3 linked regions of the Arabidopsis thaliana genome follow. The protein of the gene in region 3 interacts with the protein of the main gene of each other region in a pairwise test. Each region holds a gene or a part of one and is shown on either strand. Other genes may lie near its edges. The genes, in order: AT3G14860, AT5G59740 and AT3G25805.

What was found.
Region 1: the proteins of AT3G25805 (region 3) and AT3G14860 interact in a protein complementation assay, tested with the Arabidopsis thaliana proteins (one large-scale study listed by BioGRID).
Region 2: the proteins of AT3G25805 (region 3) and AT5G59740 interact in a protein complementation assay, tested with the Arabidopsis thaliana proteins (one large-scale study listed by BioGRID).

Annotation. Positions count from the first base shown.
Region 1 is NC_003074.8:4,999,149-5,002,904, reverse strand, and holds the start of AT3G14860 (NHL domain-containing protein), read left to right. Parts: upstream 1-1,858; 5' UTR 1,859-2,010; coding exon 2,011-2,137; intron 2,138-2,252; coding exon 2,253-2,324; intron 2,325-2,426; coding exon 2,427-2,594; intron 2,595-2,869; coding exon 2,870-3,040; intron 3,041-3,168; coding exon 3,169-3,381; intron 3,382-3,495; coding exon 3,496-3,584; intron 3,585-3,672; coding exon 3,673-3,756.
Region 2 is NC_003076.8:24,071,264-24,075,019, reverse strand, and holds the start of AT5G59740 (UDP-N-acetylglucosamine (UAA) transporter family), read left to right. Parts: upstream 1-1,933; 5' UTR 1,934-2,152; intron 2,153-2,259; 5' UTR 2,260-2,272; coding exon 2,273-2,383; intron 2,384-2,470; coding exon 2,471-2,584; intron 2,585-2,674; coding exon 2,675-2,767; intron 2,768-2,849; coding exon 2,850-2,915; intron 2,916-2,989; coding exon 2,990-3,088; intron 3,089-3,182; coding exon 3,183-3,262; intron 3,263-3,377; coding exon 3,378-3,490; intron 3,491-3,756. Other genes in the region: RIBA3 (monofunctional riboflavin biosynthesis protein RIBA 3), read right to left, coding at 1-223, 347-476, 559-884, 955-1,623. UniProt on the Arabidopsis thaliana protein: Sugar transporter involved in the transport of nucleotide-sugars from cytoplasm into the Golgi and/or the endoplasmic reticulum.
Region 3 is NC_003074.8:9,426,041-9,429,796, reverse strand, and holds AT3G25805 (uncharacterized protein), read left to right. Parts: upstream 1-1,519; 5' UTR 1,520-1,627; coding exon 1,628-1,948; intron 1,949-2,483; coding exon 2,484-2,577; intron 2,578-2,665; coding exon 2,666-2,703; intron 2,704-2,789; coding exon 2,790-2,925; intron 2,926-3,024; coding exon 3,025-3,443; 3' UTR 3,444-3,559; downstream 3,560-3,756.

The sequences.
Region 1 (3,756 bases), 4.4 Mb from region 3:
TTATCTATGTTTTGTTTGTTGTTCTCACTTCATCGTAGAGTGAATTTGAAGAAGCAAACTGGCGAAATGACAAACCAACCTCTGCTTAAACCCTGCAGATCAAATCAATCATATGAAATTATAAATCACTACCTACCAAAGGAAAAAGGATAAACACAGAACCAATATGAGACTAATATTCAAGCTGATGTGAATGCTTGACCATGGCATTATTGGTATGAATGATGGGATTGTAAGAGCATTCACAAGTCACAATGATATATTCATTTGATTGAAAATGAGAATATAAGAAACTGCAGAATAACAATGAAGACGAAATCATTCAGAAGAACAAAAGATGATAATTAATAAATATTGATTAGCTAACCAACCTGATCGATGTAAAAACACTCTCCCGGGCAAACCTCTCGGCGTTTTGCCTCTAAATTGATTCTTAACGACAATAAAATGGGTAACATACAAAAGATACAGATTCCTTCACGGTTTCAAGACAAGTCCGGAGCTCGAGAATGAGAAGAGGGGAAAAAGGCTTTAGAGTGACTGAGAGAGAGAGTCGTAGGAGAGGAGAAGAGAGTAATAAATGACAGAGAAGGGTGAGCCTAGGGAAGTTCAAAGGACATAGATTTACGTAAATACCCTCATGGTAAAGGGACATTTACACCGACATTGCTACTTTACTCCAAGAAACGTCGAAAAGGAAGTAGGGGTGTTCTCGGTATGTCAGGGAATAAGATGTTCAGACAGAACGCAAAATCACACGGTTTGGGTTGGGAATGAAACTACTTGGAAGCTGTTATTGCGTACGTACGCGAAGACCGGTCCGTCCGGTATGAGTGAGATAGATGAAAGACACGTGGCAAATTAAAAAAAAAGTGTAACCATTTCCCACATTCTCCTGAAAACGCTTTCTATTTGTTAACCCTTCTTTAGTTCCGTATTTAACTGCCTTGATGTTTATTTAATCAAACGAGAATTATGTAAGTTCATTCTCTATAAGTTCTTTTGTTTTTAAATAAGACTCTTAAATGTTGAACAAAAATAAAATAAGACTCTTAAATTATTTGTCAAGTTGCATAAAAGACAGCTGAATAGCAGTATTAGCTTTCACTAAATACGTGAAGCAACTCAATAAGTACAGTTGTCCTATCGATGAAAGCAAAATCAAGATTGAAAATTGCTAAGTCCAAAGTTTGAATCATCTTATAAGCAATAAGTAAACCAAATTAGTCTTGGTGGGCTTTAAATGCAAACTTTATAAATATAGAAATCGTGAGAATACATCATTCCAGTTATATTTGTACGAGTTATGAATACAATGCACTGATGCAGTGATGGAGTGGCATATGCATGTAATTTTATCAGTTAGTACAAAGTGAGTTAATTGTCCGTGTTTAACGGAAAGTAAAAAGCTTGAGAGACAATTCGATTTCAATTTCAAACCAAGAATTGAGAGCTATGAGCCTATGAGAGTATGGATTTGATAAAAAGGATTTTCTCTATTCACGACTATTCTTGATTTTTTTATTATGTATTAACGACTATTCACATACTATAAAGTTGCATATAATTTATTTACCTTATTTTGAAACAGACAAGAAAAAGGTATTGATGCGATTGGACATGTCGTAGAAGTGCTTCTGATCTGATCGGCTTTTTTTTTTTTGTTTCTTTACTTTAGTTTTGTCTTTTAGTATTCAAGACTTCTAGTGGCCCAGTGGCAGTGAGTATAAAGGATTTAGCACTCACTAAATGGGCGTATTGAAAGGTAAGAACCTTAATGGGCCTATTATAAGGCCCATAAAAAACACGAGTAACCCAATAAGGTAACTTTATGTTCGTTACACAATTTCTTTTCTTACTTTCAAAAAAGAAAAGAAAAAAATCTGTTGTCATCTGCAAATTGGTTTCATTCTATCAGTTGGTGTTGTGGTGTGTTGGAAGATGTGAATCGCCTCTACTAGGGTTCGATTCCAACATAAAATTGTACTTTTGGAAGATACAGAGAAAGAGATGGGCAAATCTCAGATTCTTCTAAACGCTGAGAGCTTTACTTGTTCTTCTTTCAATACTTTCTTCACTTTATGGATCTTCTTTACTCTTCACTCCTTTCCATTTCAAGCTCAAGCTGCTCCTTCTGGTAACTTTACCATACTTAACTTCGTTGCTTTGATCTATCTGCTTCACTCACTTTCTTAGTGAATTCACTCTTCAATTTCTGGTTTTTTATGTCAATTGTTGTAAATTGAATTTAGGTTCCTTGATTAAGCACATGTCATCGGTTCTCAAGTGGACTACTGGATCATCCTCTAAATTATCCCAATCAGGTAAATTCTCAATTAGTACGACTGAATTTGGTCGCCTTGATTGTTTGTTGTTCATAAACTTGGTTTTGATGTTTCTTTCTCTAACTGCTACTTGTGGTGCAGACACTAATGTTCTTCAGTTTGAGAATGGTTACTTGGTCGAAACTGTTGTGGAAGGAAACGATATTGGTGTTGTTCCTTACAAGATTCGAGTTTCTGATGATGGAGAACTTTATGCTGTTGATGAACTTAATAGCAACATCATGAAAATCACTCCTCCCTTGTCTCAGTGTAAAACTTCGTTCTCCACAAGTTCTCTTCTTTATGACTTAGTTTTTGCAGTTTTAAGTACATCCAATCATATACACATGCCATCGCAGATTATACTTGATACACTAACGATACTACTGTGATCTTTTGATGATCTTGGCTTGTAGCATTACATTTTCTATTTTACTTCAATATTCTGGTTCTTTATACTATATATGAAACATTTGATTTTCTCTTTCTTTTTTAGTGTTGGAGGTTTTTATGACTTTGTTTATAATCTATGTACTTGTGGGCAGACAGCAGGGGAAGATTGGTGGCTGGATCTTTTCAAGGAAAAACAGGGCATGCAGATGGAAAACCGAGTGAGGCTCGTTTTAACCATCCGAGAGGCGTTACAATGGATGACAAAGGGAACGTTTATGTCGCTGATACTTTGAATCTCGCCATCCGAAAGATTGGTGATTCAGGTATACAAGTTTTCTATAGGTTTTACTTACATCAGCACTCAAAAACTGAAATGGTTGCTTGTTGTTGAAAAATATAATTAAACTGAGAAGAATTGTGTTCTTAAGAGTCTGAAACATTTTTGTTACAGGTGTTACTACGATAGCTGGGGGAAAATCAAATATAGCTGGGTATAGAGATGGGCCAAGTGAGGATGCAAAGTTCTCAAATGATTTTGATGTCGTATATGTTCGGCCTACCTGCTCGTTGCTGGTCATCGATAGAGGAAATGCGGCTCTTCGCCAAATCTCTCTCAGTGAAGAGGACTGTGACTATCAAGATGATAGCTCAATCTCTCTAACTGGTAAGAAGTCAAAAACACCTCTTCCCACTACATAGATCATTTTGCATACACTCTGTTTAGGGGTGGATTTGAGAGTGTTAACAGAAGATCATTGCGTGCTTACATTCGGTGCAGATATACTCTTGGTTATTGGTGCTGTTCTCATTGGTTATGCTACTTGTATGCTCCAGCAGGGCTTTGGAAATTCTTTCTTCTCAAAGACGGTAAATTTCTATCTCTTCTCTTTCGTGCCTTTTCGCTTCTCATCAACCATATGCTACAAACAACAACAATTTCTGTTTTATCTTACAGCAGGTAGGATCAGAAACCAGCTATGAAGAAGAGCATCCAGGAAAAGAGAAACTCTCCCGGCCTGTCCATGAGAAAACAATAACC
Region 2 (3,756 bases), on a different chromosome or scaffold from region 3:
CTTCGTCCTGCAAGTTATAAGCTCTAAGCTTGTGACCAAGGCCAATGCCTCTTCCTTCGTGGCCACGGAGATACACAACAACTCCTCTTCCCTCTTTCTCGATTAACTCCATGGCTAAGTCCAATTGGTTTCCACAGTCACACCGTGCTGAGCCAAAAATGTCTCCTGTCAAGCACTCTGAATGCACTCGCACCAGAATGTCCTCACCATTTCCAACGTTTCCCTGGTCACGATTCAGACAGAAACAAACACAAGACTGGTCTTAAATTCGAATATCCAGTTGGTTGTTCTGAGATGACACCAATGCACATTGATCAAGATTTAGAAGTAAGTCGTGATTTTGTACCTTAACGAGGGCGATATTTTCGGTTCCATCGAGTTTAGATCGATAACAATAAGCTTGGAAAAGACCCCATTTGGTAGGCAAACGAGACACTGTGATTCTCTCAACAAGCTTATCTCGCTTTCTTCGATATCTACAAGTATATAAAACTTCAGATAATTACTTGTATCCAGTGTTTTCTATCTTTTCAATACATGGTCTTCTTCTTCTCTAACCTGATTAAATCAGTCAACGATACAATGGGGATATCATGTTCCGTAGCAAGCTTTTTCATATACGGCAGTGAAGCCATAGACCCATCTTCTTGATCAAGAATAGCTGAAAGAACAGAGAGGGGACGTAAACCAGCCAATATCATTAGATCCACTGAAGCTTCGGTGTGACCAGCTCTCCTTAAAACTCCACCATCTCTGTACTTGAGAGGGAATACATGACCAGGCCTCCTGAAATCATCTGGTTTAGCATCGAGAGACGAAAGTGCAAGAACCGTCATCGCCCTGTCTGAAGCTGATACTCCAGTTGATGTTCCAGATTTTGCATCCTGTAACCAAGAACTTTATCAGAACATAGACACAATGAAACCCTCTTGAGAACTATATCCAAATCGTTACCACAGTGATGGTGAAAGTTGGAGCAGAGGAATCTTCGTCTTCCATTTCAGGTGACATAAGTGTAAGGCTTAATCTTTCAAGGTTTTCTTTCTTCATACCAACTGAGACAATACCTGAACCATTCTTAATCAGAAAAGCTATGTCTTTTGGACTCGTAAGAGTTGCAGCCATGATCAGATTCCCTTCAACATCTCCGGTTTCATCGTCAACAACGATCACAAACTGAAACATAAGTGACAATTTTTTAGTAAGACCAAATCTATACAACTGTAAAAACAGATCATCATAATCACTGGTCTTCAAGAAAATCGTCAAAGAACAAACCTTTCCTTTGCGTAGAGCTTGAAGAGCAAGTTCAATAGAGGAATAACCTTGAGTAGGACAATCTGGATCACCCTCTGCGTCACTCACGAAGAAATCATCAGTCTCAGGCGTGATTTCCGCGTCAACTGTCTCAAACGAAGCAGAATCAAACAACGACCCGTCGGTTTTCCTAACAGGATTTTCATCGAACACATTGCGATCACTATTCTCACTAGCCTTGATCTCCCAACTTGAACGACTAACCAATCTCCAGCAAGTATTAGCAAACCTAGGAGAACTATACAAGCCATTGATGAAGCTGTGAGCGAAAAAGATTCGAGGATGATATAAAGCAGAATCCATCATCGACGTAATGAAACATATATCTCTCTGCTCGTACGATTCGCTGCTTCTCGTCTCTTTGGAGTTGTTCTCAACACAAAACCAAAATCTGAAAATTTTAAAATTTCAGACATATTTTTAAGGTTGGAAGGGAAAAAAATCACGACCACGAGTTTAGGATTTATCTTCTTTCGTCGTCATCGTACTAACTTAACTGGTGTTTCTCATGGGCCACACATGTTGATCATGAAGAACTATCACATAAACGGAAACCCTCTGGGTCCTTTAGAAGGTTTTGACCTTTGTCTTATTGCTGACGTGGCCTATACTTGGAAAACATCAACGAACACAACTTTAAAAAGGGCGGAAATAAAGGAATTGAGAGAAAGAGGACGGTGGAGGAGCAAATCGGATCCAGACGGAGAAGTCGCCGGAGAACGGTTTACAAAAGGAGCGTGAGAGAGAGACAGAGACAATTTTTCTCCGATCTCACCGGATCAGCCGTTGTACTCTTACCAATCCGTCGTCTAGCTTGAAATCTCCGAGCTCAAAGGTGTGTTACAGTCACTAGTCACTGTGATTTCTCACGCTTACATTACAAAATCGGAGCTTGTATTGTGTGATTAGATTTGGTTCATTAATGGTGGGTTTTGTGTTCAGAGGTGGATGGTCCATGGCTGAGCCAGAATTAGTAAACGGAGGAGTGAAAGAGAACAAATTATGGAAAGGTGTATTCGCAGTTTCCGGCATTATGTCTACTCTTGTAATCTACGGTGTTCTTCAGGTCTGTCTTGTTTTCATGATACCATTCTCTGTGAAATGTCTCCCCTTTCTTACAAATTTCTTTTGTTTTGTGATTGTGGTTTTGTAGGAGAAGATAATGAGAGTTCCTTATGGAGTGAACAAGGAGTTTTTTAAGCACTCTTTGTTTCTTGTTTTCTGCAATCGGCTTACTACATCAGCTGTCTCTGCTGGTGCTTTACTGGTAAACTAGCTAAAAACACCAACTTTGTGTTTATACTTATTTGCTAAAGTTTTATGTAACCCTTTTTGGCTTTTCTTTTTTAATTTGTAGGCAAGCAAGAAAGTTTTGGATCCTGTAGCTCCGGTTTATAAATATTGCCTTATATCAGTGACTAACATCTTAACTACAACATGTCAATATGAGGTTGGATTTTTATTTTAATGTATGAACTTTGTATGCCTACTTTTTGCTGCTTATTGCTTTTTGCTATCTGTAATGCCTCCAGGCTCTCAAGTATGTGAGCTTCCCTGTCCAAACTCTTGCAAAGTGTGCCAAAATGATACCAGTAATGGTAAGTTTTTCAGAGCTGGAAACTCATGCCTTTGAGTTTAGCATCCACCATTCTTATATTTGTGCTCTATATAGGTGTGGGGAACGCTCATTATGCAGAAGAAGTATAAGGGCTTTGACTATTTAGTGGCTTTTCTGGTGACCCTTGGCTGCTCTGTCTTTATTCTCTTTCCGGTATAAACCTCTATACCCAATCAAAAGCTTCGGTTAGTTAGACTATCATATTTACCATGAACATCATGTTTGTTTATGTAAACCTGATTTGTAGGCAGGAGATGATGTTAGTCCATACAATAAGGGAAGGGAAAATACTGTTTGGGGTGTTTCCCTTATGGCTGGTTATCTTGGGTATGTGTATCCGTGTTACTTGTTTTATTGTTTATGCGAATATACTGAAATTTTTGTTGTCTTGTTTTAAAACAAGGAATATTGATTGTGTATATGGTAATTGGCTCACTAACAGGTTTGACGGCTTTACAAGTACATTCCAAGACAAGCTCTTTAAAGGATATAACATGGAGATACATAACCAAATATTCTACACAACACTTTGTTCTTGTGTTTTGAGTTTCACTGGTGAGAATCTTATTTGTTTCTGGAACCTATACTGTTAGAGTCGCATCATTTTCTGTCACTGTCATTTTCTATGGACATTGGACCATTAATCGTTTTCCCTGGTGGGTGGCTGGTCCTAAGAAAATTCTTTAGGAAGAAGACTTTTCTCTTCTTTTTTTCTCTTTATTTGTTTACTTTAGTTATATATCTGAGTTCAGTTTATTTTGACTGTTAGACCTCTGGAATGAAAATTGATTCAATCTTCAGCTGATGACTACTAGGCTAAA
Region 3 (3,756 bases):
AACCAGAATCATACTTCAATCAATTCAAAAACTCTTTTCAATTTACTCATTTCAGAACTATGTTATCCTATTGTAAAAAATATAGTTCTAATGTATACTCAATAAGCCGTATGAAGGAAAATTATAGGCTTTATTCTCAAAATCACGCTATTGTATTTTTAAATTTGATAAAATTCATCAAAAAAAATTTAACAATATAGTCTACGCTACTGTGTTTTATATTTGATAAAATTCATCAAAAATTTTAGCAAAAATGAAAAGCAAACAAATAAAAACTAACTAACTTACTTTCATCCCAATGTAGTAGAAATTCATGACATATGAAGAATCATTAAAGACCTTTTAGATCCCTTTGAATTTGGCAGGAATTCGAAGCCACATCGTACATTTGATATCTCCAATATATCACGAATCGTCTAGTTTTTTTGTGGATTAGTTTGGATATGTCTTGTTAGGATATGTATTATCTTTTCCTTTTTCAATAAACCCTACTGAATCTAGGGTTATGATTCCACAAAAAGATCTATAAGTTTTTTCTACTCCAAAGACAATTGGTTTTGGCTCATGGGATTCTTCCCATTAGAGAGTATCATATGTATTCTGAAGTGAGTAAACAACTTTAGAAGATGGCAAACAATTTTAATGTATTGAAAAACAATATTTAATCGCTTTAACCATTTTTTGTTTCTCCAAACGAGTTTTTATTTTTGCGCTAACTAATAAAAACTTATTTAGATGAACAATGAATCTTAATATTGCTATATTAAAAACCATTAAAAGAATACATACGTATAAAAGAAATATCTCTTATATTATAAGCATGTGATATTTTTGTACAGACCATAACAACATAAATAATTATATAGAATCCCAAGAAATTGGATTACACGTATACACATTACATACAACAGAAATTTAAATGTATCTCGATACATTTTTATTTTTTTAAAAGGTATAATTTCTTCAATAATTTACATATAGAGAAATAAGTCAGTTCTCTTTGTATTTGGTTCTTTCTTGATTGAATGAATACAAGTATTTTGCACACAAAAAAAAAAGAGAAATAACGTAGAAGAAATAAATTATGTTTTGGTCCACACTTAAATTATATGATAAGATATTCTAATGAGATTAGAAAACTATCTACATGAATAAATCATACGTTCCACAATAATTAAATGAAAATAAATAATAAAATTAACCAAAATAGTTGAAATTGAATCTTGCCTACATGATTCAATGTTCTTTTAATTTTGAATTTATTTATTTATTTAACTAAGCCTCTAGATATAAAGCAAAGTTATATAACCATGATTTTGGGGTTGTTAAAAGAAGTTGACGAAAATTGAGGAATGTCGAATAATAATGATGAAAAAGATATTTGGCTTAGCACCCATAATAATGATGTGACTATCCAATTTCAGTGTCTCACCGAAACGGCGTTTTATAAGGCCGTGGGCCAATGGCCTGTTTAAAGCCAACTGTAATGTGTAATTCGATTCAATTAAAACGACGTCGTTGCTTTCAAATTTAGATAACCAATACGCTGCCGTTTTAGCAAGTCTCTCTCAGATAAATAAAAAAAATTCTCCGACTAAACGGTGGATAATGCAGTGAAGGGACGACGATGATTCTGATAACCTCACCGACGTTGACATATCTCCGTCACCGTCTCCACAGTTCCCAAATCAAATCGCCACAAATTCGCCGCCATTTTCTTCGGAGTAGAGAAATCTCCACAGTCGATCGCTGCTACAATCCATGGCAGTCTACGAATCGTTTCAAATTACGAACACGAGACAGTTCCTTCTTATGCTGTGCTCGCCGGAAACCGGAGACGGCGACGGTAGAGGTTGAAGATGATTCTATAAGGAGAATTGTTCGGTATCTTCTATGGACTAGTGAAGCTGTGTATATACTATGGCTCTTTCTTCTCCCTTACGCTCCTGTGAGTGATAATACCTTCAAAAATTCGTATTCATAGTTCCTGAGATTGAGACATTGATATATCTGTGTGAATGTTTCTAAGGTTTATGTAGAATCACCACATTGATTAATCTTGAAAGTATTTAGGATAATTTTAGGAATTGAGAACCATTTCAATTTCTCTGCTTGAATGTTTTGAGAATCTAGTAGGTTTGTTCTTTTTGAATCATACTCATAGTTCCTGATATAGCCATAGTTCTATGTGGCTACTAATTTATCTATGGATTATGTGAATGTTTGGAAGGTTTATGTAGCATCACATTGATGAATCTTCAAAAGTAATTTGGATTTTGGATGATTTTAGGAATGAGAACTTTTTCAATTTCTCTGCTTGAATGCTTTGAGAATCGAATAGTTTTGTTGTTATCTTCAACTTATTACTGAGATTTGCTCTTCTCTCTATAGATTATCATGATATGTGCTTGTGGTTAGCATTATCTTAGATTGTGTAATCTTGTATGGTTGCTTAATTAGAAAATAATCTCTATGATCAACAGGGAGATCCAGTTTGGGCAATTAGTTCAGAGACAGTGAATTCTCTTTTGGGACTTTCTCTGAATTTCTTCTTTGTCTTGCCTCTTACAAACGCCGGTATGTTCAGCCTTAAGATATATCGATTTCGTTTACCTGTTTGATCTTTGATGAAAGTTTCTTGCTTATGGACTTTGTGACAGAACAGCTGGTATTCACTTCTTACAAGCTCCTGTTCTTCACCCGGTTTGTACCTTTGAGCTGAACAGGTTTTTGTGTATTAGTGAAAGTAAATCGTTCTGAAATTGTTTTTTTTTTTTTAAATTCAACAGATGGCTGAAGGGTTATTCAACTTTGTAATAGCTTGGACACTCATGTTTGCTCCATTGCTATACACAGACCGAAAGAGAAATCGATACAAAAGCTCTCTTGACGTCTTATGGAGTCTCATGATGTTCCTTACAAACAGTAAATACAACTTTAGTTTTTATTTAAGAAGTTCAGTTTCTCTGGAAAGCAACCCTCTAAACTAGATTATTGGTTCTGTTGATCTCATGTTGCAAACAGCGTTTCTAATCCCATACATGGCTTTACGGCTCAATGACGCTGACCCAGATGATAAACCAAGCAAAAGGTCTCAACTTGGTGAAGTGATGACCAAAGGTGCACCAATAGTTGGTCTGACCGGAGCTACGGTGTGTCTGATATCAGCATTGTGGTCTCTCTACGGTCGAGCAGATGGTGATTTCGGTGGAATCATGGACAGATGGCAGTATCTGATTGGTTATTTGGGATCGGAGAGACTAGCTTACGCGTTTATATGGGATATATGTCTGTACACAATCTTTCAGCCATGGTTGATTGGAGAGAACCTGCAAAATGTGAAGAAGAACAAGATTGAATTGGTGAAGTATCTAAGGTTTGTTCCTGTTTTTGGTTTACTTGCATATCATTTGTTTCTCAATCTCGAAGATGAATCAATTTAATTTGTTAGTATACACACATATTGTCGTTGTACTTATAACAAATGTAATTATATTATGGAAATTTTGTTATGTCATTTTTAGAAAATTCTATCATTTGTATCGGTAATGTTTTTTCCACATTTGAATTTATATTTCACGAAGGAATAGTGAAAACTCTATAAAATTGGTAAATTGCAAGAAATGAATCGCAAAAGTAAAGTCCTGACCGAAACAGCATAAACGTCGTGGGCCAAAAGGCCCGTTAAAGCCCATTTAAGAAGGGTATGGTTCCAATTAAATAAAGACGTCGTCGTTTGCTCTCAATAAAGAAAAG